Linked DNA regions of Oryctolagus cuniculus. The protein of the gene in region 1 purifies or fractionates together with the protein of each later gene. This does not show direct contact. Links are inferred from orthologs where the notes say so. Each region holds a gene or a part of one and is shown in the gene's direction. Other genes may lie near its edges.

Region 1 (3,500 bases):
GCAGCATTCGCCATGAGCTCCAGTGTGACCTGAGACGCTTCTTTCTGGAATACGATCGGCTTCAGGAGCTGGATCAGAGCCTCAGTGGGGAAGCCCCCCAGACCCAGCAGGCCCAGGAAATGCTCAACAATAACATTGAATCTGAAAGGCCAGGCCCTTCCCACCAGCCCACCCCACACAGCAGTGAGAACAACTCCAGCCTGTCTCGTGGCCACCTGAACCGCTGCCGTGCTTGCCACAATCTCCTGACCTTCAACAACGATACCCTGCGCTGGGAAAGAACCACACCCAGCTACTCCTCGGGTGAGGCTGCGTCCTCTTGGCAGGTCCCCAGTACCTTTGAGGGCATGCCGTCGAGTGGCAGCCAGTTGCCACCTCTCGAGCGGACTGAGGGTCAAACACCCAGCTCCAGCAGGCTGGAGCTGAGCAGCTCTGCTAGTCCGCAGGAGGAGAGGACTGTGGGGGTGGCCTTTAACCAGGAGACAGGCCACTGGGAAAGAATTTACACCCAGTCCAGCAGACCTGGAACTGTGTCACAGGAGGCCTTACATCAGGACTTGCCTGAGGAAAGCTCTGAGGAAGATTCCCTCAGGAGGTAAGCGGTGGCTTCCTGTCGGCTCCTGCATCCTTTCCTTGCCTCCCTGCACCTCTGCCTGCAGTCCTGTAGATGCTGTGGCTGTCTCTGGATGACTGGGACCCATGCATCTGGTTTGGATGTCTCCATTGCATCATTTCGGAAAATTTTATTCTGGTGGCAGAGATAGGAAAGGGCCTAGCTATATGAGTCAGTTGGCTGTGCTATATCTATTTCTGGCTAAGCCTAAGGCTCTGGGTTTAGCCTTGAAAGGAGGGTGTTGATTAGGTTAGAAGGCATGAGGAGATGGAACCATTGACTTCCTCTGCCGGGTTTTTATTTTATTTTATTTTTATTTTTATTTTTATTTTTATTTTTTGGGCATTCTTGAAAGATTTTATTTGCAGGACTAGTTATTTTGGGACAAGAAAATGTCTGAGTATCTAGGAATAAGTACTAAAAGAATCCTGCTTGATATAGATTACTATATTGTTCCAGCTCTTTGTGTTGCTTTGGATAGCTGTTCACCTCTTAATCCTTAGCTTTTGGAACACTGCAGCTTGACAAAGAGAAAAAAAAGACAACATGCATTTATGTCAAGAAAAGGTGAATTTTAAAAATTTATTTATTTGAGAGACAGAGGGCTTCTATCTGCTGGTTTATTCCCCAGATGCCCACAGTGGCTAGCAATAGGGCTGGCCCAACCGGGAGCTAGGAACGCAATCCCAGTTTCCCATGTGCCAGGAACACAGTCACTTGACCCATCACTGCTACCTCCCAGGGCCTGCATTAACAGAAAGCTGAAATCAGGAGCGAAGCTGTGTAATGATCCCAGGAACTCTGGTATGGGATGTGGACATTTTAGACTCTACGTTAAATGCCTGCCCCAAAAAGATATATATATATATACACACACACACGCACACACACACACACAAATACACACACACATATATGTAAATTGTTATGATTCTTAGAATGAACCTTCCAGCTGAACATTCACCTTGGGATGAGGAAGAAGAATCTTTCATGGAAGAAAGAGAGTGGGTGTAGTTGATCGCCCACTCCATGTTCCATGTATGGCTCTGCACACATCTATCTTGATTTATTAGGGCCCTGTTTGTGTAATTTTGTAAAGGTCAAATCTAGCGTAATCACCAACTCCCAGAATATGCCTGTTGGATCCAAACAGCTTCTCTCTCTGTATTATATCCTCCATTTGAAGCAACTGAAATTTCTTTGACGTAAGCTTATAGCAAGGGTGAAAATATGGACTGTGCACATAATGTTCTTGTTATTTTGGGAAGATGCTTTAGACAGTTACCCAATTAGTATTAATTACAATGGCTATGGTTGAATGGTTACAACTTTTTCAGTACTGGGCGAGGCATTGTGGGGCATGCAAAAGAAGGATGATATAGCAACTTTGCCCACTGTAGTATAGAATGTTAACGTGGAGTCAAGACTTATTGACATAAAGTTTATCTAAAGCATAGTTGACCATATGCTTCACTCAGTGGTACTGAGATTAAATGTAGTATAACTTCAAGAAAAAGGAAGTGTCATCAAGGAACACCTTTTTAAAAGAGGATTTATTTATTTATTCGAAAGTTAGAGTTACACAGAGAGAGAAGGAGAGGCAGAGAAAGAGAGAGAGAGAGAGAGGTCTTCCAAATTGGCCACATTGGCCAGAGCTGCGCCGATCTGAAACCAGGAGCCAGGAGCTTCTTTCGGGTCTCCCACATGCATACAGGGGCCCAAAGAACATGGACCATCTTCTGCTTTCCCAGGGCATAACAGAGAGCTGGATCAGAAGAGGACTAGCCTGGACTCGAACCAGTGCCCATATGGGATGCCTGCACTTCAGGCCAGGATTTTAACCCACTGAGCCACAGCGCTGGCCTCAGGAACACTTTTTTTTTTTTTTTTTTAAGATTTTATTTCTTTTATTTGAGAGGCAAAGTTACAAACAGTGAGAGGGAAAGACAGAGAGAAAGGTCTTCCTTCTGTTGGTTCACTCGCCAAATCCGCAGTAGCTGGAGCCGCACCGAAGCCAGGAGCCAGGCACTTCTGAGTCTCCCACATGGGCAGGGGCCCAAGGACTTGGGCCATCTAGTACTGCTTTCCCAGGCAATAGCAGAGAGCTGGATTGGAAGTGGAACAACTGGGACTAGTACTGGCACCCATATGGGATACCAGCATTGCAGGTGGAGGATTAACTTGCTGCACCAGGGTGCCGGCACCCACTTTCTAAAGTCCAGTCTTGAATGACAAGTAAGATTTGGAGAAAGGAAAGACTTTTTTTTTTTTTTTTTAATATATTTATTTATTTGAAAGAGTTACACAGAGAGAGAACATGAGCTCAATCCATCTTCTATCCACTGGTTCACTACTCAAATGGCCATAACAGTTGGGGCTTGGCCAGCTCAAAGCCAGGAGTCAGGAGTTTCATTTGTGGGTGGCAGGATCCTAAGCACTTGAGCCATCTTTCGCTGCTTTTCTCAGGCCGTTAGCAGGGAGCTAGATTGAAGGTGGAGCAGGCCAGCGCCGTGGCTCAATAGGCTAATCCTCCACCTAGCGGCGCCCGCACACCGGGTTCTAGTCCCGGTCGGGGCACCGGATTCTGTCCCGGTTGCCCCTCTTCTAGGCCAGCTCTCTGCTGTGGCCAGGGAGTGCAGTGGAGGATGGCCCAAGTGGTTGGGCCCTGCACCCCATGGGAGACCAGGAGAAGCACCTGGCTCCTGCCTTTGGATCAGCGCGGTGCGCCAGCCGTGGCGGCCATTGGAGGGTGAACTAACGGCAAAAGGAAGACCTTTCTCTCTGTCTCTCTCTCTCACTGTCCACTCTGCCTGTCCAAAAAAAAAAAAAAAAAAAAAAAGTGGAGCAGCTTGGATACAAATTGATACCCATGTGGGAAACCGGCATT
Region 2 (3,554 bases), on another chromosome or scaffold:
GTGTGCCAGGCTGGAGCAGCTGGGGTTCAACGCCCTGCTGCAGCTGATGATCGGGGTGCCCCTGGAGATGGTGCACGGCGCGCTGCGCATCAGCCTCCTGTACCTGGCGGGCGTGCTGGCAGGTGAGGCGCCGCGCCCCGGCCCGCCCCGCGCCGCCCGCCGGGCCTCACCCCTGCCCTCCTGGCCCGCAGGCTCCCTGACCGTGTCCATCACCGACATGCGGGCCCCCGTGGTGGGGGGCTCCGGCGGGGTCTACGCCCTGTGCTCGGCGCACCTGGCCAACGTCGTCATGGTAATGGGCGCCCGCGGGGGGCGGGGCGGGCGCCGCGGGCCTGTCTCACGGCCTCTCCGCGCCCCTCAGAACTGGGCTGGGATGCGGTGTCCCTACAAGCTGCTGCGGATGGTGCTGGCCCTGGTGTGCAGTGAGTAGGGGCGGGGCGGGCGGGGCGGGCCCGCGGGCGGGGCGCCGCCCACCTGCCGCCTCCCTCCGCAGTGAGCTCGGAGGTGGGCCGCGCCGTGTGGCTGCGCTTCTCGCCGCCGCTGCCCGCCTCGGGCCCGCAGCCCAGCTTCATGGCGCACCTGGCGGGCGCCGTGGTGGGCGTGAGCATGGGCCTCACCATCCTACGCAGCTACGAGGAGCGCCTGCGGGACCAGTGCGGCTGGTGGGTGGTCCTGCTGGCCTACGGCACCTTCCTGCTCTTCGCCGTCTTCTGGAACGTCTTTGCCTACGACCTGCTGGGCGCCCACGTCCCCCCGCCGCCCTGACCGCCTCCTGGGCACAGGGGAGGCCCTGCCCCCGCCCCGCCCCCGGGTCCGCGGTCCGCGCCTTTTGCAGAGTGAATAAATATTTTACACGGCACCAGGTGGCTGTCCGGGGTCTGGAGGCGTCTCTGCCCCCCGCTTCCCGCGGACCGTGCGGGGCCCTCCCATCTACGAAGGGACTGGGCTGCGGCCCCAGGGGACAGGCGGTGGGTGTCCTGGCCCACGAGTTCGGCCTGCACGCCGTGGGGGAGGGGGCCAGGCTGGGGCCGGTCAGGCACGGTGTCCCACCGCCCATGCCGAGGGGGCGGCGCCGGCGGGGTCGCTCCCACCTGTGCGGACGCTGCCTCACGGGCCGCACAGGGTGCCCGGGCGGCTGCGGCAGCTGAGGCCGTACTCAGCTGCGGGTCAGGGCGTCCTGGGTCGTCTCCGCCGGCGGGGCCCGCCCCCGGGGGCCCGCACGCGCTGCACGCCTCGGCCTCCCGCTGCCCCCATGCCGGGGGCGGGGCGTGCGCGGAGGGGCGGAGCCCGGCCGCAGGGAGGCGGTCCTTCGGAGGCTCCGCGCGGCGGGCCCCGCCCCCACCCCGCCGCAGCGCGCACGCGCGACCCCGCCCCCCGCGGCCGGAAGTTCCGGTGGCGGCGATCCGGGCCGGGCCGAGCGGGGCGCGGGCTGCGGGCGGCCGGGCGCGGAGCCCGCGAGCGGAGCCCAGGCCGTGCCGCGCGGCGCCATGAAGGGCAAGGAGGAGAAGGAGGGCGGCGCGCGGCTGGGCGGCGGCGGCAGCCCCGAGAAGAGCCCGAGCGCGCAGGAGCTCAAGGAGCAGGGCAACCGGCTCTTCGTGGGCCGCAAGTACCCGGAGGCGGCGGCCTGCTACGGCCGCGCCATCGTGAGTGCGCCGCGCCGGGGGCGGGCCTGGCGCCGGGGCGCGGCCCTTCGGGGCCCCCCGGCTTGGGGCGTTTGACTCGGCCCCGGCGGCGGCGGCCGCCCGGGTGCGGGTGCGGTGCGGGTGCGGCCCGCGCGCACGCCCACAGCGCGGCCGCCCGCTCTCCCCAGACGCGCAACCCGCTGGTGGCGGTGTACTACACCAACCGCGCCCTGTGCTACCTGAAGATGCAGCAGCACGAGCAGGCGCTGGCCGACTGCCGGCGCGCGCTGGAGCTGGACGGCCAGTCGGTGAAGGCGCACTTCTTCCTGGGCCAGTGCCAGCTGGAGCTGGAGAGCTACGACGAGGCCATCGCCAACCTGCAGCGAGGTGGGCGCGCGGCGCGGGGCGCGCGGCGCGGCTGCGGGCGGCCGGCCGGGCTGACCGCGCGCCCCGCGCCCGCAGCCTACAGCCTGGCCAAGGAGCAGCGGCTCAACTTCGGCGACGACATCCCCAGCGCGCTGCGCATCGCCAAGAAGAAGCGCTGGAACAGCCTGGAGGAGCGGCGCATCCACCAGGAGAGCGAGCTGCACGCCTACCTCGCCAGGCTCATCGCGGCCGAGCGCGAGAGGTGGGCCCCTCCGCGCGTTTATTGACAGCGGGGCGGGGCGGGGCGGGGCGGGGCGGGTCCTGACGCGCGGCCGCTCGCCCGCAGGGAGCTGGAGGAGTGCCAGCGGAGCCACGAGGGGGACGAGGACGACGGCCACGTCCGCGCCCAGCAGGCCTGCATTGAGGCCAAGCACGTGAGGGCGGCCCGGCCGGCGGGCGCGGGCCCCGGGGGCGGCGGGGGCGGCGGGGGCAGGCGGCGCTGGGCCGGGGGAGGGCCGTGTGCGGCCCCGGGGCAGCGCCCCCTCGCTTCTTCCAGGACAAGTACTTGGCGGACATGGACGAGCTCTTCTCGCAAGTGGACGAGAAGAGAAAGGTGAGCCTTGTCGGCGGGGCCCGTGGGCAGGTGCCGGCCGCCCGCCCACTGAGCGCGCCCTGTGTGCAGAGGCGCGACGTCCCCGACTATCTGTGCGGCAAGATCAGCTTCGAGCTGATGCGGGAGCCCTGCATCACCCCCAGCGGCATCACCTACGACCGCAAGGACATCGAGGAGCACCTGCAGGTGGGTGCGGCCGCGGCGGCCCGGCCGGGCGCCCCGCCCCGCCGCGCCGCTGACCCCGCTGTCCCCGCAGCGCGTGGGCCACTTTGACCCCGTGACCCGGAGCCCCCTGACCCAGGAGCAGCTCATCCCCAACCTGGCCATGAAGGAGGTCATCGACGCGTTCATCTCGGAGAACGGCTGGGTGGAGGACTACTGAGCCCCTGCAAGGCCCGCCCCCGCCCCCGCCCCGGCGCCGCCCCTGTCCTGCAATAAAGTCCGTGAGCACGAGCGCTAGCCCAGGAAGGTGGAGATGAACACGCACGTGTCCAGGTTGAGCGTGGCGTGCCACCAGCGGGCCGGGAAGTACAGCACCTGCGGGAGGGGCGCGGGCGTCAGCGGGGGGCCTCGCCTCCCCCGCCCCGGCCCCGGCCCCGGCCCCGGCCCGGACCTCGCCCGCGGAGATGGTGCACTCGAGCGGCCGCGCGGCCGGGGCCAGGCCTGGGTACGTGTCCCGGAGCCAGGCCAGCGTGGTCTCGTTGGGGTGGAACTGCGGCGTCTTCTCGGGCGGGTACAGGAACCAGCGCTGGGGGAGGGGAAGCGCACGCTCACCCCGGGTCCGCGGGTCCGCGCGCCCAGCCCCTGCCCACGGCACTGACCTTGCGGCCGTAGATGACCTCCGAATACCCGGGCCCGTGCCAGTGGAAGGGCACCCCGGTGCCCGCGCCTGTGGGTTTGGCGGGTGAGCAAAAAACCACACCCCCCTGCCCTGCCCCCGTCCCCGGCTCCCG
Region 3 (4,172 bases), on another chromosome or scaffold:
ACACAGCAGTAGGCAATCTCTCCCGCCCTAGGGAAAGTCAGACCCACTTCCTCCCCAGAGCTACTAGGAACCCATCACAGGGTGCTGAAATCAGGAATGGAGGCGGGTGCAGGTGGACAAGGTCCCTACGCTCGCAGTCCGACGCGCCAAGAAACATCATCCTTTGGAAAACTCAATGCTGAAAACACGGCCTTGCGACCAGAGCCCGGGCCCGCGCGTCCCGGCGGCGCCGTCTGAGCCCAGAGCCTCGGTGTGGCCGCTTCTGTGCCCTGCAGCTGCAGCGTCAGACACGCAAGGCGGGGCGAGGTTCACCAGGGGCAGATGCCGTGGGGCTCTAACTCCCCCAGCTCCCACGGGTCCCGTTCCCAGGAGATCGCGGCCGCGGGGTCGCGCGCCCTGGCCGCAGAGCCAGCGCGCAGGCCGCGGTAGGAGCCCAAGTCCCGCCGACCCGCGTTCTCCCCCGCATGTTACATCCGGCCGCCATCCCGCGTCGACAACCCGCCACTTCTAAAGCGTTCCAGAACCCCGGACACCCGCGGCTGAGCGACCGTACCGGCGCCGCCCCCTGGGAAAACCCGAGGGAAGTGGCCTCCGGCAGAGGCGGGCCGCCCGGGGCTCCCCGCACCCCGCACACGGACACGCTTCGGTGCGGCGGCCCTGCGCCAGCAGCCACGCAGCGCCCGCCAGCACCCACCTGCTGCAGGTACTGGTTGATGGTGATGTGCGCCATGGCGCGGCCGCCGCGCAGCCTGCGCCCGGTCCGCCCGCGTCAGGCCGCGCGTCACTTCCGGCCGGCGGTCCGTCCACCGCCAGGCGCCCCCCGACGCCAGCGTCGCTCGCACATTGGTTCCGGCCACAACGTGCGCCGCAAGCGCCGCCCCGGCAGCTCGGCGCCGAGCCCGGTGGAGGGCGGCCGGGGTCTGGCGCCGCTCGCCTCGCGCGCTGGGGCCCGCGACCCCTCTCGTGAAAAGCACTCCCCGCAGCGACGTTCGGCTCGCGGCCGCAGCCGGCCCGGGCGCGCCCCCGAGTCCACACACAGGGTGCCGGCGCGCGCGCCCGCAGACTAAGATGGAGGGCGGCCTCGCGCCCCCTCCTCAGCCCGCCCTCGGTGGGGCGGCGGGGGTCCGGGCGCGCGCCGCCGCGCCGGCGGCCGCGGGGTGCGGCGGGCTCCGCGGCGCCGGCTTCCCGCGCAGCCCCGCGCCCCCGAGGGGAGGGGCGGCCCGGCGCGCGGCCCGGCGCGCGCGCCCCGGAGTCTGAGCGCGGCGTCCCGCGCCCGGCGGCGGGAGGGGCGGGCCGGGCCGACGGCGGCGGCGGCGGTTGGGCTCCGGGGCGCGGGCGGGGCGGGGCGGGGCGGCCTCGGCGCAGGCCCGGACGGAGGCTCGGGAGCCGGAGCCGGCGCCGGACGCGGGCGGACAGGGCCGGAGCCGGGCGCACGGGGCGCGGGGCGCGGGGCGGCGTGCCCGGGCGGGTCGGGCGGCGTCCGGCCGCGGCCATGGCGGACGAGGCCCCGCGCAAGGCCGGCGTCTCGGCCCTCGTGGGCCGCACCAACGGCCTCACCAAGCCCGCGGGCCTGGCCGGCGGCCCCAACAAGCCGGGCGGCGCGGGCGGCTCCAGGAAGCTGGTCATCAAGAATTTCCGAGGTGCGGCCTGGCGGGCGCGGGGCGCGGGGCGCGGGGCGGCGCGGACGCGGGGCGGCCGGCCGCGCCTGACCCTGCGCTCTCCACAGACAGGCCGCAGCTGCCCGACAACTACACGCAGGACACGTGGCGCCAGCTGCACGAGGCCGTGCGGGCCATCCAGGGCAGCACCTCCATCCGCTACAACCTGGAGGAGCTGTACCAGGTGAGCGGCCCGAGTGGCCCGGGGCCGCGGCGGGCGCGGGCGCGGGCGGCACGTGACCGCGCGGCCTTCGCGCGGGCCGCGCTTATGTAAAGTGCCCGCTGCGGGGACGGCCCGCGCGCGTCTGGATGCGGTTCGCCGTTGCGTGTCCGGGGTCGGGAGGAGCGGCCGGGGGCGCGCCGCGTGGGGAACTTGGAAGCCACTTGGCGGCCCCTCGGGAGCGCGCTTCCCCCCGATGTGCGGGGAGCTGTGCGAGTTTTCCCTGCAAAGCCTTGGGCTGTGGGTGTATTTGCGTGACGTTAGCGGCGCTGCGCAGTGCCACGGAGGGCCTGTAGGCCCCCTGCGTGTCCCGCCACCCACCCTGCCGGGGCCTCCCTTATCCAAACTCCCGGAATGCTCCAGAACCTGACACTGAGCACCGACGTGGTGACACAAGTGGAAAATTCCACACCTCGTCGCACGTAATGGATCCCAGCGCGAATACGGAGCACTGGGCGTGAGAGGGATACCTGTGCTTGGAGCTGGAGCCCCCCCCCCGCGCCTGTGTGCGTGTGTGCGTGACAGGGCGCGTGTGAACTGGCCGGCCTCTGCGTCTCTCTAAGCCGTTCTCTCATCGTTTACATAGGATGTGTAACTTGGGTCTTACTAAGTTGTTACGGATGTGGACGTGTCTCCCCTCCCAACCAGCTCCATCGTCTTTACTTACTTGTTTTCTGTCCCCATAGCTTGCTGTTTCTGGAATCTCATCCAAATAGAATCATGCGTTTTGCATGTCTGACTTTTTTTTTTTTTTTTTTTTGCTTAGGGTGGAACTTTTAAAAAAATTGTTTACTCTCATTGTATTTGAAAGGGAGAGGAGGGACGGAGGCAGAGTTCTTCCACGTGCTGGGTCATTCCCCCAGCTGTCCACAACAGCAGGGGCTGGGCCAGGCTGAAGCCAGGAAATCATCTGGGTCACCCACACAGGTAGCAGAGCCCAAGAACTCCAGCCATCATCTGCTGCCTCCCGGACTGCGCGTTAGCGGAAGCTAGAATTAATTGTAAGTGGAGTCACAACTCAGACCCAGCCATTCTGATGGGCGATTCAGGTGCCACAGGTGGCTTCTCGCCCACAGCACCACACACATACCCACGATACTTCTGAAATCCATGCACACTATGTGATAGTAATTAGCTTGTTTACTATTTATTTATTTGAAAGATAGAGCCAGAGAGAGAGGGAAAGAGACAAATACGGAGATCTTCTGTCTGCTGGTTCAGTCCCCAGATGGCTGGGCCAGACGAAAGCCAGGGCCCTAGAAATCCATCAGGGTCTCCCATGTGGGAGGCACAGGCCGAGGCTTTGGGCTATCTACTGTTTTCCAAGGAGCATTGGCAGGGAGCTGGTCAGGAGTGGAGCAGCTGGGACTCCAACTGGAGCTGGGTCCCCATAATTTGTTTCTTTGTATTCCTGTCCTGCTTGGGTGTACTGTGTTTGGCTTATTCTTCACCAGTTAATGGACACTTGGGTATCAAGTTTTGGGTTACAAATAACGTAACAAACATTCTCATTCCTCTGGAAGTAGATCCCCAGGGTCCCGTGGAAAAATACTTGTTCAACTGTATAAGAAATTTCCGGGGCCGGCACTGCGGCACTGTAGCGTAGCTGGTAAAGCCACAGCCTTCAGTGCTCACATTCTGGGAGTCCCAGCTGCTCCACTTCCGATCCGGCTCTCTGCTATGGCCTGGGAAAGCAGTAGAAGATGGCCCAAGTCCTTGGACTCCTGCACCCACGTGGGAGACCTGGAAGAAGCTCCTGGCTCCTGGCTCCTGGCTTTGGATTGGCCCAGCTCTGGCCGTTGTGGCATTTAGGGAGTGAACCAGCAGGTGGAAGACCGCTCTCTCTGCCTCTGCCTCTGCCAGTCTGTAACTCTTTCAAATAAATAAATAAATCTTAAAAAAAATAAAGAAATTGTGGCCGGCGCCGCAGCTCACTAGGCTAATCCTCCGCCTAGCGGCGCCGGCACACCAGGTTCTAGTCCCGGTCAGGGCGCCGGATTCTGTCCCGGTTGCCCCTCTTCCAGGCCAGCCCTCTGCTGTGGCCAGGGAGTGCAGTGGAGGATGGCCCAGGTGCTTGGGCCCTGCACCCCATGGGAGACCAGGAAAAGCACCTGGCTCCTGCCATCGGATCAGCGCGGTGCGGCGGCCATTGGAGGGTGAACCAACGGCAAAGGAAGACCTTTCTCTCTGTCTCTCTCTCTCACTGTCCACTCTGCCTGTCAAAAATAAATAAATAAATAAATAAATAAATAAATTTCTTGCTTTTCAAAGCGGTGGCACCATTTACTAAGTCC
Region 4 (4,081 bases), on another chromosome or scaffold:
CGCCCGCAGCAGGCCCAGCACACACGACTGCCCTGGGCAACAGCGGCTCCCCAGCTCCCTCCAACACCCGGCAGCACGGACACTCGGACCCCGAGCACACGGCGGGGGTCACAATGCTGGACGCGGCCAAGCGGCTCCGGCTCTGCCCTGCCTCTTCCGGAGAGCACCGGACCACACGGCCCCAGACGGCCCTGGACCACACGGCCCTGCACGCCACTGGACCACGCGGGCCCTGCACGCCACTGGACCACGCGGGCCCGCACAGGACACGACCACACGACCCGCACAGGACCAGACCACACAGCCCCAGACGGCCCCGGACCACACAGCCCCAGACGGCCCTGGACCACACGGCCCTGCACAGCACCGGACCACACGGCCCTGCACGCCACTGGATCACACGGGCCCGCACAGCCCCTGACCACACGGCCCGCACAGCCCCTGACCACACGGGCCCGCACAGCCCCTGACCACACGGCCCGCACAGACCGGACCACACAGCCCCGCACAGCCCCTGACCACACGGCCCGCACAGACCGGACCACACAGCCCCGCACAGCCCCTGACCACACGGCCCGCACAGACCGGACCACACAGCCCCACACAGCCCCTGACCACACGGCCCGCACAGACCGGACCACACGGCCCGCACAGCCCCTGACCACACGGCCCTGCACGCCACTGGACCACACAGTCCCAGACGGCCCCGGACCACACGGCCCTGCACAGCCCCTGACCACACGGCCCGCACAGGACCTGACCACACAGCCCGCACAGCCCCTGACCACACGGCCCGCACAGGACCTGACCACACGGCCCGCACAGCCCCTGCGCGGGTCCGGTTCTCCAGCAAGCAGCCTGCGGGACCTGTTGCGGCGCTGGCACCGGCGCCCAAACCGGCCGCGGAAACGCCGCACCCCGCGCAACCCTCTCGTTGCTACACGGCTGCCCCCGCCAGCGCCTTTCAGAGGCTGAATCCTCCCCAGACACCCGCGAGCCTGGTGGGTGTGCGCGCGTGGGAGCGGAAGTCGGGGCGGCGGCCGCACGAAAACCCGCAGGCCCAAAGTGTCGCAACGGCCAGCGGGCTCCCTCTCGTCGCTCCGTAACCACTGCCGGGCCCGGCTCCGCGCCGGCCTCACCGCCCCTCTCGTCGCTCCGTAACCACTGCCGGGCCCGGCTCCGCGCCGGCCTCACCGCCCCTCTCGTCGCTCCGTAACCACTGCCCGGCCCGGCTCCGCGCCGGCCTCACCGCCCCTCTCCTCGCTCCGTAACCACTGCCCGGCCCGGCTCCGCGCCGGCCTCACCGCCCCGGCCCGCCAGCGCCTGAGGACAAGCACGGCCGGCCGCACGCCGCGGCCGCAGCCACTCGCCGAGCCCCTCCGGGCGCTTCTGGAACTCGCCCTCGGGCAAACACCAGGTCCGTGCACCGCGGCGGTGGGCGCCAGACCGGGGGCGGCCCGGCAGCCCCGGCAGCGCGCTTACCCCGCTCGGCGCTGCTTCCCTGCGCTCCGCACCGCGCTCCGGGGCCCGCCGCCCGCCGCCGCCCGCGAAGGCCCGGCAGAGGGGCGGGACGAGGGTCCGCGGCGCCCGCCGCACCGCCGCCATGGGGCCGCGCCCACCTTGCTCCCGCGGCACCCGGCGGCGTTCGCGACGGCGAGCGGGGCTGCCTTACGGCAGGGTCGCAAAGCCGGCGGGCGCGCCGCGGAGGGGCCGACCGCGCGCTTTTCCCGCGGTGACACGGCTCGCGGAGGGGGTCTGTGGGGACGGGGCGGCGCGGAGGAGGCCTGCCGGGACCGGGCAGCGCGGGCGAACGCCGGCGACAGTTCCCCGATCCCTGTCGTCCCAGAGGCCCGGGGCGCGGCTCGAGGTGAGGCGCGGGCGCGGAGCCGTCTTTTCCCAGGGCTTGGGGGTGGTCGGCCCCGGACGGGGGCGCCGCGGGCTCTGCGGAAGTCGTGGGCGGCAGCGGAGCGCGTGATGGCGCGGGTGAGTGGTGCGGGGGCGCCGGCGATCGCGTCTGCTCTCTCCGCGCGCGCGCCGGCGCGGGGCTCCGCCGGGCCACCCTGCTCCCCCCCACGGGCTCCCACGCGGCCGCGCCTGGCCGGGTTCCCCGCCGGGCTGGGCCCCGCTCCGCGCCCCTCCCGCCCGTCCTCGCGGGGCGCCCGGGCCTCGGCCTCCCCCGCGCGCCCATTGTGAGGTCAGGGCCGGCGGCGAGCCGGGGGCCCGGGGCCGAGACGCCCGGAGCGGCCGCTGCGGCCAGTAGCTGCCGCCGCCGCCGGCCCCTTCACCGGCCGCCCCGTCCAGACCGAGCCGGGGGGCTGAAGGGGATGCCGTTAGGGGCCCGGCCCCGCCGCCGCACCCGGTGAAGGGCTGATCTTCCACCTCGCCGCCGCGCCTCCGGGGAGCCGGGACCTCCGCCGGGTAAAGTGCGAGAGGGAGGGAGGCCCGGGCCCGCGGCGGCGCCCGCGGGCCCTCGTGGGAGGCAGTGCAGGCAGAGTGGGCGCTGTCCCGGGCGGGGAGCCCCGGCGGAGCTTGGGGCCCCGTCGCGGGGCCTGTCCCGCATTCTGCTGGCCCGGGCGTGCCCTGCGGGCTGTTCTGTGCCGCGGGCCGGGCGGCCCCTCGGGCTGGCCCTGGGCCTGCCGGCCGGGGTCCGCGGACCTGCCGGCGGCCGCTCTGAATGAGCTCTCTTGTCGCCCCGCAGCGCTCGTGAGCCCAGGCAGCGGAGCATGGACATGGGAAACCAGCACCCGGCCATCAGCAGGCTGCAGGAGATCCAGCGGGAGGTGAAGGCCGTGGAGCCGCAGGTGCTGGGCTTCAGCGGGCTGGCGGACGACAAGGCCTACCGGAGGCTGGAGCGCATGCTCACGCGGCAGCTGTTCGAGATCGACTCCGTGGACACCGAGGGCAGGGGGGACGTCCAGCAGGCGCGGAAGCGGGCGGCGCAGGAGACGGAGCGGCTGCTCAAGGAGCTGGAGCAGAACGCCAGCCACCCGCGCCGCCTGGAGATCCGGAACCTGTTCCGCGAGGCGCAGGCGCTGGCGCAGGACGAGATCGCGCCCTTGCACAGCGGGGGAGGCTGCGCCGCGGACGAGGTGGAGGAGCGCCTGCAGGACATCGTGCTGCGGCTGACGCACGTCAAGACCGGCGGCAAGGTCTCGCTGCGCAAAGCCCGCTACCGCGCGCTGAGCAGGGTGTGCGCCGTGCAGGAGATCCTGGAGGACTGCCTGCGGAAGCAGCCGTCGCTGCCGCTGTCCGAGGACGCGCACCCGTGCGTCGCCAGGATCAACGCCGTGATGTGCACGGTGAGCAAGGCCCGCGGCACGGTGGTCGCGCTGCTGATGGGCGTGTGCGCCGACGAGACCTGCCGGCACCTGTCCTGCGTGCTCTCGGGGCTGCTGGCCGACCTGGACGCGCTGGACGTGGCCGGGCACCCGGACATCAGGAACTACCGGAGGGAGGTGGTGGAGGACATCCACAAGCTGCTCAAGTACCTGGAGCTGGAGGAGGAGGCGGACACGACCCGCGCCTTCGACCTGGGCCAGAACCAGTCCATCCTCGAGATAGAGAAGGTGCGCGCCAGGACGCGGGAGGTCAGGGCCGAGCTTCTGCGCGCGCAGAGCCCGGCCGAGCTGTACCTGAGCTCCAAGACGGAGCTGCAGGGCCTCATCGGGCAGCTGGACGAGGTGAGCCTGGAGAAGAACCCCTGCATCCGGGAGGCGCGCAGACGGGCGGTGATCGAGGTGCAGACGCTGGTCACCTACGTGGACCTGAAGGAGGCGCTGGAGAAGAGGAAGCAGAGCGTGGGCGCCGAGCACCCGTCCCACCAGGCCGTCTGGAGCGTCCTGGGGAACCTGTCGGAGATCCAGGGGGAGGTCCTGTCCTTCGACGGCAATCGCAGCGACAAGAACTACATCCGGCTGGAGGAGCTGCTCACCAAGCAGCTGCTGGCCCTGGACGCGGTCGACCCGCAGGGCGAGGAGAAGTGCAAGGCCGCGCGCAAGCAGGCCGTGAAGCTGGCGCAAAACATCCTCAGCTACCTGGACCTCAAGTCGGACGAGTGGGAGTACTGACCGCGAGTGGGCAC
Region 5 (3,500 bases), on another chromosome or scaffold:
GACATTTGTGATTTTCTTTCTGTCTGTTTTCACATGTGTGCCTCTGGCCTCTCTGTCTCAGTCCCTCTGTTTCTCTGAAGCTCTCCATTCTCTCTGCCTCTGTTTCTTCAGAGACATGTGTGATAAGCAGTGTTTGTAGCAAATGATAAATGCGGAACACAATGATTCAAACCTGAATAGATTCACATACAAGAATAAATCGTCCTAGGGAAGAAGCAGAATGTATGGAAGGACGACAGTGATCCTACGCCCATTTGTGAATGTAGGGGTTCCTGAACCTCCCCATAACTCAAAGTTGTTTCACCTCTTGGTCTCCGGACCAGGTTTAGATGAATTAGATTTCCCTGCTATAGGAAAAGGAGGTAACAGTTCTGCATCTGACTGAAGCTTCCTTTTCCACAATAGGTCTATGACATCGCGTTTAGCCGGGCTGGGGGTGGCAGAGACATGTTTGCGTCTGTGGGTGCTGATGGCTCCGTGCGAATGTTTGACCTCCGTCATCTGGAACACAGCACCATCATTTATGAAGACCCACAGCATCACCCATTGCTGCGCCTCTGCTGGAACAAGCAGGACCCTAACTACCTGGCCACCATGGCCATGGATGGAATGGAGGTGAGCACCCGCCCAGTCTAACACAGGCCCTGCCACTGAACTCCAGCGCTGACGAGTGCTTAGATTGGTTCTCTACTGGTGGCAGCCTTGCCCCCAGGGGATCTTTGGAAATGTCCAGGGTCAGATGGATCTGGGAGGCTGCTACGCTTTCTACAGTGCACAGGACAGCTTCCTGGCAAAGTATTATCCCCCTGAAATGTCCATAATGCCAAGGCTGAGAAAGCCTGATCTAGGACAAGGACTGTGGCTAAGAATTTTTTCTTTTTTTTTTTTTTTTTAAGATTTATTTATTTATTTGAAAGTTAGAGTTGCAGAGTGGGGAAGAGGAGGGAGAGACAGCGAGAGAGATCTTCCATCCACCAGTTCACTCCCCAGTGGCCATAATGGGCGGGGCTGGAACAGTCCAAAGCCTGGAGCCGAGAGCTTCATCTAGATCTCCCACATGGGTACATGGGCCCAAAACTCAGGCCATCCTCTGCTGCTTTCCCAGGACATCATCAGGGAGCTGGTACTGTGGTGCAATAGGCTAAGCCTCTGCCTGCTGCACCAGCATCCCATGTGGGTGCCAGTTTGTGTCCCAGCTGTTCTTCTGATCGGCTCTCTTGCTATGGCCTGGGAAAGCAGTAGAAGTTGGCCCAAGTCCATGGGCACCTGCACCCACATGGGAGACCAGGAAGAAGCTCCTGGCTCCTGGCTTCAGATTGCCCCAGTTCTGGCCACTGCAGCCATTTGGGGAATGAACCAACAGATGGAGGACCTGTCTGTCTTTCCCTGTCTCTGACTGTAACTCTGTCTTTCATATAAATACACAAAATCTTAAAAAAAAAAAAAAAAAGAAAAGAAAAGAAAAGAAAAGAAAAGAAAAGAAAAGAAAAGAAAAGAAAGAAAGAAAGAAAGGAAGGAAAGAAGAAAAAAAAAAGGAGTGGAGCAGCCGGGACTTGAACCTGCACCCGTATGGAATGCCGGTGCTGCAGGTGGTGGCTTTTCCCACTATGCCACAACGCTGGCCCCAACAACTTTTCATACTTGGAGAGTTGGTGCCAAGAAAAATAGTACTTAAGAGTAAACTAAATGGGCCAGCGCCACGGCTCAGTAGGCTAATCCTCCGCCTTGCGGCGCCGGCACACTGGGTTCTAGTCCCGCTCGGGGCACCGGATTCTGTCCTGGTTGTCCCTCTTCCAGGCCAGCTCTGCTGTGGCCAGGGAGTGCAGTGGAGGACGGCCCAAGTGCTTGGGCCCTGCACCCCATGGGAGACCAGGAGAAGCACCTGGCTCCTGCCTTTGGATAGGCGCGGTGCGCCGGCCATTGGAGGGTGAACCAACGGCAAAGGAAGACCTTTCTCTCTGTCTCTCTCTCTCACTGTCCACTCTGCCTGTCAAAAAAAAAAAAAAAAAAAAAAAAGTAAACTAAATCATTTGTGCTTTTGGTGCTGAGGGGAAAAAAAAAATCCCCTTGGGTGGTCTGGGCAGAGTCGTCCAGCTTTAGCAAACACATCTAGGAATCTAGGAATGGCAGCTCTCTCTGTAGCCTGTTACTCAATAAAGGTGGGTGGCAGGCACGTGGTTAGCGTTGGTTTGATGAAGCCAGTTCCTTAGACTTCTTCATTGGTTCCAGATTCTGCCTTGCCAGGGCTCTCATTCTGTCCAGCTGAGATGTACAGAATTCTTCTCTCAGGCACCTGCCAGGAATTGGTGGATCGTCTAAATATGTGTTACCTTTTCCATCCCCCTTTCCTATCCCTCACTACCTGTGTTCTGTGTTTTCTTTTTTCCTCAATCCTTAGGAAAACCTGCATCTCTAATATTCTTTAAGTCCACAAATGAAAAAGTGACACTTAAACAAGATTTTCCCTGGTGTAGTGTCTTTGGTTCTCGTGTTTCTTCTGTTACACCCCAAGTTCCTGGGCCTTATACTTGTGTTTCTGCAGGTGGTGATTCTGGACGTCCGAGTTCCCTGCACACCTGTTGCCAGGTTAAACAACCACCGAGCCTGTGTCAATGGCATTGCCTGGGCCCCGCATTCTTCCTGCCACATCTGTACTGCAGGTAACCATGGTGGGGGGACGGGTAATAAGGAAATCTGCCACTCTTGGCTCCTTACAGTTAACAGACCTTGCTGTTTTCCAAGGACAGTTGGAGACTTCCACATGACATAGTTCAATTCAGAGCCTCCCCACACTTGTGAAAATAAAATAGTTCACATTCGCAGGTGATCCCATACCCTCAGTGCTGTCAGAGCATCTTTTTTTGTTTTGTTTTGTTTTATGATTTTATTTATTTACTTGTGAGGTAGAGTTACAGGCAGAGAGGGGAAGTCAGAGAAAAAGTCTTCTATCTGCTGGTTCACTCCCCAAAAGGTCTCAATGGCCAGAGTTGAGCTAATCCAAAGCCAAGAGCCAGGAGCTTCTTCCAGGTCTTCCTCGTGGGTGCAGGGACCCAAGCACTTGGGCCATCTTCTACTGCTTTTCCAGGCCATTAGCAGGGAGCTGGATTGGAAGAGGAGCAGCTGGAACTAGAACCGGCACCCATATGGGATGCCAGCGCCACAGGCGAAGGCTTAGCCCGGTGTGCCACAATGCCAGTCCCTGTTGGAGCATCTTGTACATACAACTTATATCACGTGTCGGGGATTGGCCTGTGTGTTATATGCACCCACACACACACCAGAGTTCTAGGTTGGTGCAAGGGACTCAGATCCAAGAATGTGAGACAGAGAAGGCGTCCCTCTTGGATGCCACAGGATCTTTGGGACAGCCAACCTGGGCGTCTCCCTGGGACCTCTGAGGCCACACTATAAAGAGCTCACTGTGAACTCTGCAGGCACTAAAGGGCCCCACATGACCTTGGCTATTGAGAGGTGTGGAGGGGCCAACGCTGTGGCATAGC
Region 6 (3,500 bases), on another chromosome or scaffold:
GTACCTGCTCTTGAAATTGCCAATGCTCACCGTAAGCCCCTGGTCATAATTGCTGAAGATGTTGATGGAGAAGCTCTGAGTACACTTGTTTTGAATAGGTAATAAGCAGTGTATTTGATACTTCACATTTCCTGATGAAGAACTTGTATTGATGTTTGAAATCTCCATTATGTTCCTCCATATTCTATCAACCTGTGTTTGTATCTAGATTTGTAGTGTATATGAAAGTTCTTTACAAAATTTGTGTAAAAAGCCTCTTATGGAAAAAACTGCATGGTTTTAAATTGTTTCTTTGGACCAAACTATCTTTAGTTCTATTTTTTATCAGCTTTTTGGAGTACAGGTGTGCTGCTTGCATCTTCATGTTTCAGAAGACTTTAAGAATTATTTTTATTTATTTGAAAGACAACATCAGGGAGAGATGTCCATCACTGGTTCACTCCCTAAATGACTGCAACAGCCAGGGCTGGTCTAGGCTGAAGCCAGGAGCCTGAAACTCCATCTGGGTCTCCTATGTGGGTCACAGGGGCCCAAATACTTGGGCCATCTTCCACTGCTTTCCTGGATACATTAGCAGGGAGCTAAATTGGAAGCAAAGCAGTTGCTACTCAAACGGTGTTCTAATGTGGGATGCAGGTGTCACAGGCAGCAGTTTAACCTACTGTGCCACAAGCGAGCCCCGAGGAACACAAGGTAATTTTGCATGGAACAAGGAAGGAAGGAAATAATTGCCATTATAAAAACCTCATCCCTTAGTGTATTTAGTGATAAGTATTTCATATTCTCAAGTGAGAGAAATTAACACTCAACCTAAAATAAGATGAAGTCTATTCAACAAGTTTATAGTTTAATATTGGTTTTAACCTTGAAATAAGTAATGGTCATATTCTAAACAGTGCAAAGTTTTTGTTGAGCTGTTTACCGGTAGCTCTAAAGTCTTTGCCCAGTTTTCATAGCATATCATCATAGCTTATCCTAGTTTTTTATTTGTCTCAGTAAAATAGAGCGACACTGTCTTAAAGTTTTGTTCACAATCTGCTCTCTAATGGACATTTCTTTGATTATGATATTTCAAGTATTCATTTACCTGATAAAATTTCAGGTGAGTTTAACACTACAGTTTTGTATAACATTTATAAAAGAGCTAAATTTGGGACATTCTTTGTTCAAACTTAACTTTAACAATAACCCATAGAAGTCTTCATTAGATTACTCATTTACTTTTAATATTTTATAATTATTGTTTTCCATCACTCATAAAATAGTTGCTAATATGTCCTTAATTGTAATGTGATTTTTGCTTCTGGGTTCAGCGGTTCAACTGGAATGTGAGGCCAGCAGTTTATTAAGAAGGTAATCAGCTACAAAGAAGTATAGATGAGTAGAATATAGCTCTGTCTCCTACTTTTCCTCTTTTAATATGAACAGTTCTGGTAGTACCAGGACTTGAGAGGAACTAAACTAGATAGTAGGTATTTTTATTCAATTTAAGTCTCACCGTCTTCTGTCCTTAACAGGCTAAAAGTTGGTCTTCAGGTTGTAGCAGTCAAAGCTCCAGGTTTTGGTGACAATAGAAAGAACCAGCTTAAAGATATGGCTATTGCTACTGGTGGTGCAGTAAGTAAACTTAAGTTTTATATTTGTTTACTGAATGTTATTTATATTTCCAGGTCTAAAATTTAGAGAGAATTTAATTTTTCACAATTAGTTACTGTTTATTTTTAATTTTTAAAATTTATTTTTAAAAGACTTATTTATTTATTTGAAAGGCAGAGTTATAAGGAAAGGGGGGAGAGAGAGAGATCTTCCATCCATTGGTTCACTCTTCAAATGACCACAGTGGCCAGCGCTGGGCTATCTTCTGCTGCTTTTATCTCTGATTTGCCATGTTTTTGGCTTACTAAGAATGAGCTTTTTTACTAAATCTGCTTTCAGTTTTGAAAGTCAATAATGTGATAAAAAATAATCCATTGTGGGATTAAAGAATTTCAGCCTGGCCGGCGCCACGGCTCAGTAGGCTAATCCTCCGCCTTGTGGCGCCAGCACACCGGGTTCTAGTCCCGGTCGGGGCACCCGATTCTGCCCCGGTTGCCCCTCTTCCAGGCCAGCTCTCTGCTGTGGCCAGGGAGTGCAGTGGAGGATGGCCCAAGTGCTTGGGCCCTGCACCCCATGGGAGACCAGGAGAAGTACCTGGCTCCTGCCATCGGATCAGCGCAGTGCACTGGCCGCGGCGGCCATTGGAGGGTGAACCAACGGCAAAGGGAAGACCTTTCTCTCTGTCTCTCTCTCACTGTCCACTCTGCCTGTCAAAAAAAAAAAAAAAAAAAGAATTTCAGCTTATGGTCGGTATAGTCTCCCTTCCTTCAATAAGTGTGGCATTGAGTATTTCTCAAATTAGAATAATAGTGACTGGTAGAGTTGTGAAAACTGAGATGTTGAAAATGCAATGAAAGACAATTTAAATCTTCTTATAGACTTATGTTGGTCTTGAAGTCTGTTCATTTCAAAGAAGTACAGTATGATAACTTACAACTTTAAAATGTTGTAGGTATTTGGAGAAGAGGGATTGACCCTAAATCTTGAAGATGTTCAACCTCATGACTTAGGAAAAGTTGGAGAAGTCATTGTGACCAAAGATGATGCTATGCTTTTGAAAGGAAAAGGTGACAAGGCTCAAATTGAAAAACGTATTCAAGAAATCATCGAGCAGTTAGACATCACGACTAGTGAATATGAAAAAGAAAAACTGAATGAACGTCTTGCAAAGCTTTCAGATGGAGTAGCTGTGCTAAAGGTGAGATTCACTGTTGTATTGATTTTTGCTTCTATAGTATTTCCCAGTAGTACTGTGGAACCTAAATATTTGAGGGAGTAATGTGCTCATGGCAATATTCATTATGTAAAATTGTTTACCGAAACATTGCTTTTGTAAACTAGTTTTATGGGGGGAAATTGCTGTGGGAAAGATGCTCATGAGAAAGTCATTCTGGAATCTGTCTTTTGTGGGTTGTTGCAGTTCCTTTTAACAAGTAGGCAACATTTTTCCCCCCTTAAAATTGCATTTTAAGTAAACTGGATAGTTGTGTTTTTTTGTTTTTTTTTTAAGATTTATTTATTTATTTGAAAGTCAGAGTTACACAGAGAGAGGAGAGGCAGAGAAAGAGATCTTCTGTCCGATGGTTCATTCCCCAGATGGCCGAAATGGCTGGAGCTGTGCTGATCCAGAGCCAGGAGCTTCTTCCAGGTCTCCCACGTGGGTGCAGGGGCCCAAGGACTAGGGCCTTCTTGCACTGCTTTCCCAGGCCACAGCAGAGAGCTGGATCAGAAGTGGAGCAGCAGGGACTAGAACCAGCGCCCATATGGGATGCTGACACCTCAGGCCAGGGCTTTAACCCACTGCACTGCAGCGCTGGCTCCTGGATGATCTCTAAATGACCTTTTAGGTAGTCCACATCTTGAATGGGAGGAGCCATACTAACTGAAACTTCTGGAACTTCAGG
Region 7 (4,217 bases), on another chromosome or scaffold:
CTCTCAGACTCTCCCCCTCTCTCTATGATTCGTGACTTTGAAATAGATAGGTGAATCTTTTTTAAAAATTTATTTATTTATTTGAAAGACAGTTACAGAGAGGTAGAAATGGAGAGATATTCCATCTGCTGATTCACTCCCCAAATGGCTGCAATGGCCAGAGCTGCACTGATCCAAAGCCAGGAGCCAAGAGCTTCTTCCAGGTCTCCCACATGAGTGCAGGAGCCCAAGGACTTGGGCCATCTTCCACTGCTTTCCCAGGCCATAGCAGAGAGAGGGATCAGAAGAGGAGCATTCAGGACTAGAACCGGTGCCCATATGGGGTGCTGGTGCCACAGGCCAGGGCTTCAACCCGCTGCACCACAACGCTGGCCCCCAGATACATAAATCTTAAAAAAAAAAAAAAAAAAAAAGATGCCAACCAGAGCTCCTGCATCCCACATGGGAGCGTCTGGGCTCACTCGTGGTTCCTCTGCTGCCCTTCCAGTTCCGTGCTAATGAGCATCCTGGGACACAACAGGTGATGCTTGGGTCCCTGCCAACCACGTGGGAGACCTGGATGGAGTCCCTGGCTCCAGGCTTTGGCTTGGCCCAACCTTGGCTATCGCAGGCATTTAAGGAGTGAACCATTGAATGAAAGTTCTCTCTCTCTCTCTCTCTCTCTCTCTCTCTCTGTGCTTTTCAAATAAAATGAAATCAATAAAAAAAAATTTTTAAAGCCAGAAACCAGGTCTGTTGAGGAGCCAAATACCGGGACTGTTTAGGAACAGGCAGAACCCGGTTCTGGTCCTGGTCGCCAGCCCAGGCTGGGAGGGAGGGAAGCCAAGGAAAAGGGAATTTCAAGTTTATCGGCAAGTTCAGCGGCAAGGGTGACACCAGGGGCAGGAAGGGCAGGACCCTCTCCAGGGGAGTGGACGTGGCTCGCACTGTCCCCTCCCCGCTGGCTGAGGAGGGCGTGCCACTCTTGCACTTGTGCTAAACAGCACCAAGCCTGCCGAACTTTGCACGACCCAGCCTGCGAGACGGGAGGCCAGGTTTATATCTGCTGGGAACAGGGGCGGGGCCACCTCGAGGGGCGGGGCTTTGTCTCGCCCCGCCCCTTCCCGGAGCTCCGCGTTCCGCTGCGGTAACCTGTGGACCCGGCAACGGACAGGGCTCGCAGCCTGCCAGATCCTAGAAGACAGTGAGCGGGAAGTCGTGATTGGTTCTCCCCGAGGGGGTGGGCGGGCCCTCCGCCTGCCCAGTGCCCTCGCCGCGGGGAGGCGTTGCCGGGAGAGGCGGGGGGGGGGGGTCTGAGAGGGAAGGGGCGTGGCCGCACGCGGGCGGCCGTTGGCAGCCCGGCCCCGCCCCGGATGGGGGCGTCACGGGGCCGAGGCCGCGGCGATTGGCCGGCGCGGCGCGGGGGGCGGGGCGGAAGGTTCTGGAGGGGGCTGGCGGGCTCTGGAAGCTTCCGCCGGACGGGTATATAGAGTCGGGCCGGGCGGCGGCGGCGGAGCCGGGTACGGCGGGGCCGCGGGCGGGCGCCATGGGCAAGGATTACTACCAGACGCTGGGCCTGGCCCGCGGCGCGTCGGACGAGGAGGTGAAGCGGGCCTACCGCCGCCAGGCGCTGCGGTACCACCCGGACAAGAACAAGGAGCCCGGCGCCGAGGAGCGGTTCAAGGAGATCGCCGAGGCCTACGACGTGCTGAGCGACCCGCGCAAGCGCGAGATCTTCGACCGCTACGGGGAGGAGGGTGCGTGCGCGCGGCCGCGGCGCGCGGGGAAACCGAGGCACGCGCGCCGCCGGCCGGGGGTGGGGGGCTGCTGAGAGGGCCCCCGGCGGGCGGAGGAGGAGCCCCGGCTCGCCGCTCGCGCAGAAGCTTCCAGCACGTCCGGGCGGCCCCTCCCTGGGTCTGCACCCGGTGCGGGCCGGGGCGGGGGGCGCGGCGGGGGGCGGCCGGGTCTCGGCCTGCCCAGCTGCCCGTCGGTGACTCACCGGCTTCCGGGCTCGGTCCTGAGCCAGTAGAGTGTGTTTTTTTTTTTTCCGATCATCAGGGCAGCGGCGATTGGTGCTGGGACGGGAGAGCTTCAGAAAGCTTCCGGGGTGTCTTTGGTTGGCCTGCATTTGCCCACGTTCTCTCTGGGCTCAGGGGACGTGGCCGCCGCTCTTCCCCCCTCTCCCCCACCCCGGGTCATGTCTGGGTCTCTTGGTGGATTCTTGGGAGGATCAGCCGGGAGCAGGCAGGGGCCGGGCCTTGGTGGCTGTCACCTGCGGGCCGAGGCCCCCAGTGTCTGCAGCGGCAGGTGCAAGCTTGGGGTCCGGCCCTCGGCGGGCTGAGAGCAATCCCGCCCCGCCCCCTCACGTCCCTGCGTTTTTGCTTCGCAGGCCTGAAGGGCGGCGGCCCCTGCGGGGGCAGCGGCGGCGGGGCCAACGGGACGTCCTTCAGCTACACGTTCCATGGCGACCCGCACGCCATGTTTGCCGAGTTCTTCGGAGGCCGGAACCCCTTTGACACGTTCTTTGGGCAGCGGAACGGGGAAGAGGGCATGGACATCGACGACCCGTTCGCCGGCTTCCCCATGGGCGTGGGCGGCTTCACCAACATGAACTTCGGCCGCTCGCGCCCGGCCCAGGAGCCCACCCGCAAGAAGCAAGACCCGCCCGTCACGCACGACCTCAGGGTCTCCCTGGAAGAGATCTACAGCGGCTGCACCAAGAAGATGAAGATCTCCCACAAGCGGCTGAACCCCGACGGCAAGAGCATCCGGAACGAAGACAAGATCCTGACGATCGAGGTGAAGCGGGGCTGGAAAGAGGGCACCAAGATCACCTTCCCCAAGGAGGGGGACCAGACCTCCAGCAACATCCCCGCCGACATCGTGTTCGTGCTCAAGGACAAGCCACACAACATCTTCAAGAGAGACGGCTCGGACGTCATCTACCCGGCCCGCGTCAGCCTGCGGGAGGTGAGGCCGCGGGGGTGGGGAGCCGTGGGGGTGCGCTGGGGGCGGGCGGGGCTCCCCAGGCTCTCGCGGCTGACCGCTGTCCTACCCCCCCCCACCCCCGCCCAGGCCCTGTGCGGCTGCACGGTGAACGTGCCGACTCTGGACGGCCGCAGCATCCCCGTTGTCTTCAAAGACGTCATCAGGCCCGGCATGCGGCGGAAGGTGCCGGGCGAAGGCCTGCCCCTCCCCAAGACGCCGGAGAAGCGCGGGGACCTCATCATCGAATTTGAGGTGGTCTTCCCCGAAAGGATCCCCCAGACGTCGAGAACCGTCCTGGAGCAGGTTCTGCCCATCTAGCGCCCCCACACACCCACCCACCCACCGCCCCCGCATCATCCGGGCGCCGCCGGCCCCAGGGACCTCGCCAGAGCTCAGCGTCTCCGGCTACCCCGGCACTCGTGGACCGTGAGAGGGCGGGAGGGCCCGGGAGCCTGATCCTGCTCTATGTTTTCCAGAGAATATATTACAATCTTTGAAAGTCGTGCACTCGACTGTGCTGGTTTTTCGGGCGGCGGAGCGGCAGGTGGTGGGCAGAGCAGGACGAGGCCCGCCCCGCCCCACGCTCCTCCAGACACCTCCCCCCCCCCGCACCTGCAGCTGGGTCCTGTGCTTTGTCTCCCCTGCTCCATGCCTCCCCCCACCCCCACCCCCCGGCTCATCCTGGCCATCTCAGGTGGAGAAAGCTAGACTCTGCAGAACTGCCCGGCCGGCGCCCACAAGCAATACCTTCCTCTTTCCAGCGGGACCACGGGAGCCCGGGAGCTCACGGAGACGGGGCCCAGCCGTGCTTTGCCGAGAGCGAGCTCTGGGCAGCTCCGGGTGCCCTTTCTGTTCCATGGACTCTGGACTTTGTTTTGTTTCGTTTCGTTTTGTTTCTCTCTCAAAGGGATCTGATCCTTCGGAATTTTGCACAACCCTGGAGAGATGTATAGAGACATAGCTATAATCCCTTTTGATAAAAGGGTCTTTGCTCCCGATTGCAGGAGCCTGTAAATGTTTTTATAACTCCCCGTCAGGCCGGGGTGCCCCCAGACGGGCCCTGCCCTGCCCCCATGGCCCCGGGCGGAGGCGGGGTCTATTCCCGGGACACCCGTCTGGTGCTCAGCCCCTTGAGACTCATTGTACGTTGCCACTGCCGACATGAGACCAAAGTGTGTGTGACTTGTCGCTGTGCAGGGTGATGGCATTAAAGACTGTATGAGAAACCTCCCGGGAGCGGCCCTCGGCTC

Evidence for each region.
Region 2: the proteins of AMBRA1 (region 1) and STUB1 purify together in Homo sapiens (affinity purification with mass spectrometry, with the first as the bait; 3 studies listed by BioGRID). This does not show direct contact. The link is inferred for Oryctolagus cuniculus from reciprocal best matches to the Homo sapiens genes AMBRA1 and STUB1.
Region 3: the proteins of AMBRA1 (region 1) and CUL4A purify together in Homo sapiens (affinity purification with mass spectrometry; 11 studies listed by BioGRID and IntAct, with this or other methods). This does not show direct contact. The link is inferred for Oryctolagus cuniculus from reciprocal best matches to the Homo sapiens genes AMBRA1 and CUL4A.
Region 4: the proteins of AMBRA1 (region 1) and BAG5 purify together in Homo sapiens (affinity purification with mass spectrometry, with the first as the bait; 3 studies listed by BioGRID). This does not show direct contact. The link is inferred for Oryctolagus cuniculus from reciprocal best matches to the Homo sapiens genes AMBRA1 and BAG5.
Region 5: the proteins of AMBRA1 (region 1) and DCAF7 purify together in Homo sapiens (affinity purification with mass spectrometry; 3 studies listed by BioGRID and IntAct, with this or other methods). This does not show direct contact. The link is inferred for Oryctolagus cuniculus from reciprocal best matches to the Homo sapiens genes AMBRA1 and DCAF7.
Region 6: the proteins of AMBRA1 (region 1) and HSPD1 purify together in Homo sapiens (affinity purification with mass spectrometry, with the first as the bait; 3 studies listed by BioGRID). This does not show direct contact. The link is inferred for Oryctolagus cuniculus from reciprocal best matches to the Homo sapiens genes AMBRA1 and HSPD1.
Region 7: the proteins of AMBRA1 (region 1) and DNAJB1 purify together in Homo sapiens (affinity purification with mass spectrometry, with the first as the bait; 3 studies listed by BioGRID). This does not show direct contact. The link is inferred for Oryctolagus cuniculus from reciprocal best matches to the Homo sapiens genes AMBRA1 and DNAJB1.

The regions. Positions count from the first base shown.
Region 1 is NC_091432.1:19,388,919-19,392,418, forward strand, and holds part of AMBRA1 (activating molecule in BECN1-regulated autophagy protein 1), read left to right. Parts: coding exon 1-595; intron 596-3,500. UniProt on the Homo sapiens protein: Substrate-recognition component of a DCX (DDB1-CUL4-X-box) E3 ubiquitin-protein ligase complex involved in cell cycle control and autophagy.
Region 2 is NC_091450.1:34,026,459-34,030,012, reverse strand, and holds STUB1 (E3 ubiquitin-protein ligase CHIP), read left to right. Parts: upstream 1-1,487; coding exon 1,488-1,643; intron 1,644-1,810; coding exon 1,811-2,009; intron 2,010-2,084; coding exon 2,085-2,250; exon of another isoform or gene 2,251-2,334; coding exon 2,335-2,422; exon of another isoform or gene 2,423-2,544; coding exon 2,545-2,787; exon of another isoform or gene 2,788-2,857; coding exon 2,858-2,983; 3' UTR 2,984-3,054; downstream 3,055-3,554. Other genes in the region: RHBDL1 (rhomboid-related protein 1), read left to right, coding at 192-292, 362-422, 494-1,148; JMJD8 (jmjC domain-containing protein 8), read right to left, coding at 3,058-3,138, 3,215-3,349, 3,423-3,490. UniProt on the Homo sapiens protein: E3 ubiquitin-protein ligase which targets misfolded chaperone substrates towards proteasomal degradation.
Region 3 is NC_091440.1:735,103-739,274, reverse strand, and holds the start of CUL4A (cullin-4A), read left to right. Parts: upstream 1-1,372; 5' UTR 1,373-1,492; coding exon 1,493-1,640; intron 1,641-1,726; coding exon 1,727-1,842; intron 1,843-4,172. Other genes in the region: PCID2 (PCI domain-containing protein 2), read right to left, coding at 695-730. UniProt on the Homo sapiens protein: Core component of multiple cullin-RING-based E3 ubiquitin-protein ligase complexes which mediate the ubiquitination of target proteins. As a scaffold protein may contribute to catalysis through positioning of the substrate and the ubiquitin-conjugating enzyme.
Region 4 is NC_091451.1:46,388,092-46,392,172, reverse strand, and holds the start of BAG5 (BAG family molecular chaperone regulator 5), read left to right. Parts: upstream 1-1,281; 5' UTR 1,282-1,417; intron 1,418-1,482; coding exon of another isoform or gene 1,483-1,605; exon of another isoform or gene 1,606-1,674; intron 1,675-1,706; exon of another isoform or gene 1,707-1,983; intron 1,984-2,276; exon of another isoform or gene 2,277-2,418; intron 2,419-2,698; 5' UTR 2,699-2,723; coding exon 2,724-4,067; 3' UTR 4,068-4,081. UniProt on the Homo sapiens protein: Co-chaperone for HSP/HSP70 proteins. It functions as a nucleotide-exchange factor promoting the release of ADP from HSP70, thereby activating HSP70-mediated protein refolding.
Region 5 is NC_091448.1:15,127,963-15,131,462, reverse strand, and holds part of DCAF7 (DDB1- and CUL4-associated factor 7), read left to right. Parts: intron 1-405; coding exon 406-615; intron 616-2,542; coding exon 2,543-2,660; intron 2,661-3,500. UniProt on the Homo sapiens protein: Involved in craniofacial development. Acts upstream of the EDN1 pathway and is required for formation of the upper jaw equivalent, the palatoquadrate. The activity required for EDN1 pathway function differs between the first and second arches.
Region 6 is NC_091434.1:42,771,222-42,774,721, forward strand, and holds part of HSPD1 (60 kDa heat shock protein, mitochondrial), read left to right. Parts: coding exon 1-98; intron 99-1,517; coding exon 1,518-1,617; intron 1,618-2,548; coding exon 2,549-2,794; intron 2,795-3,499; coding exon 3,500-3,500. UniProt on the Homo sapiens protein: Chaperonin implicated in mitochondrial protein import and macromolecular assembly. Together with Hsp10, facilitates the correct folding of imported proteins.
Region 7 is NC_091447.1:63,137,027-63,141,243, reverse strand, and holds DNAJB1 (dnaJ homolog subfamily B member 1), read left to right. Parts: upstream 1-1,417; 5' UTR 1,418-1,525; coding exon 1,526-1,736; intron 1,737-2,368; coding exon 2,369-2,949; intron 2,950-3,054; coding exon 3,055-3,285; 3' UTR 3,286-4,198; downstream 4,199-4,217. UniProt on the Homo sapiens protein: Interacts with HSP70 and can stimulate its ATPase activity. Stimulates the association between HSC70 and HIP. Negatively regulates heat shock-induced HSF1 transcriptional activity during the attenuation and recovery phase period of the heat shock response.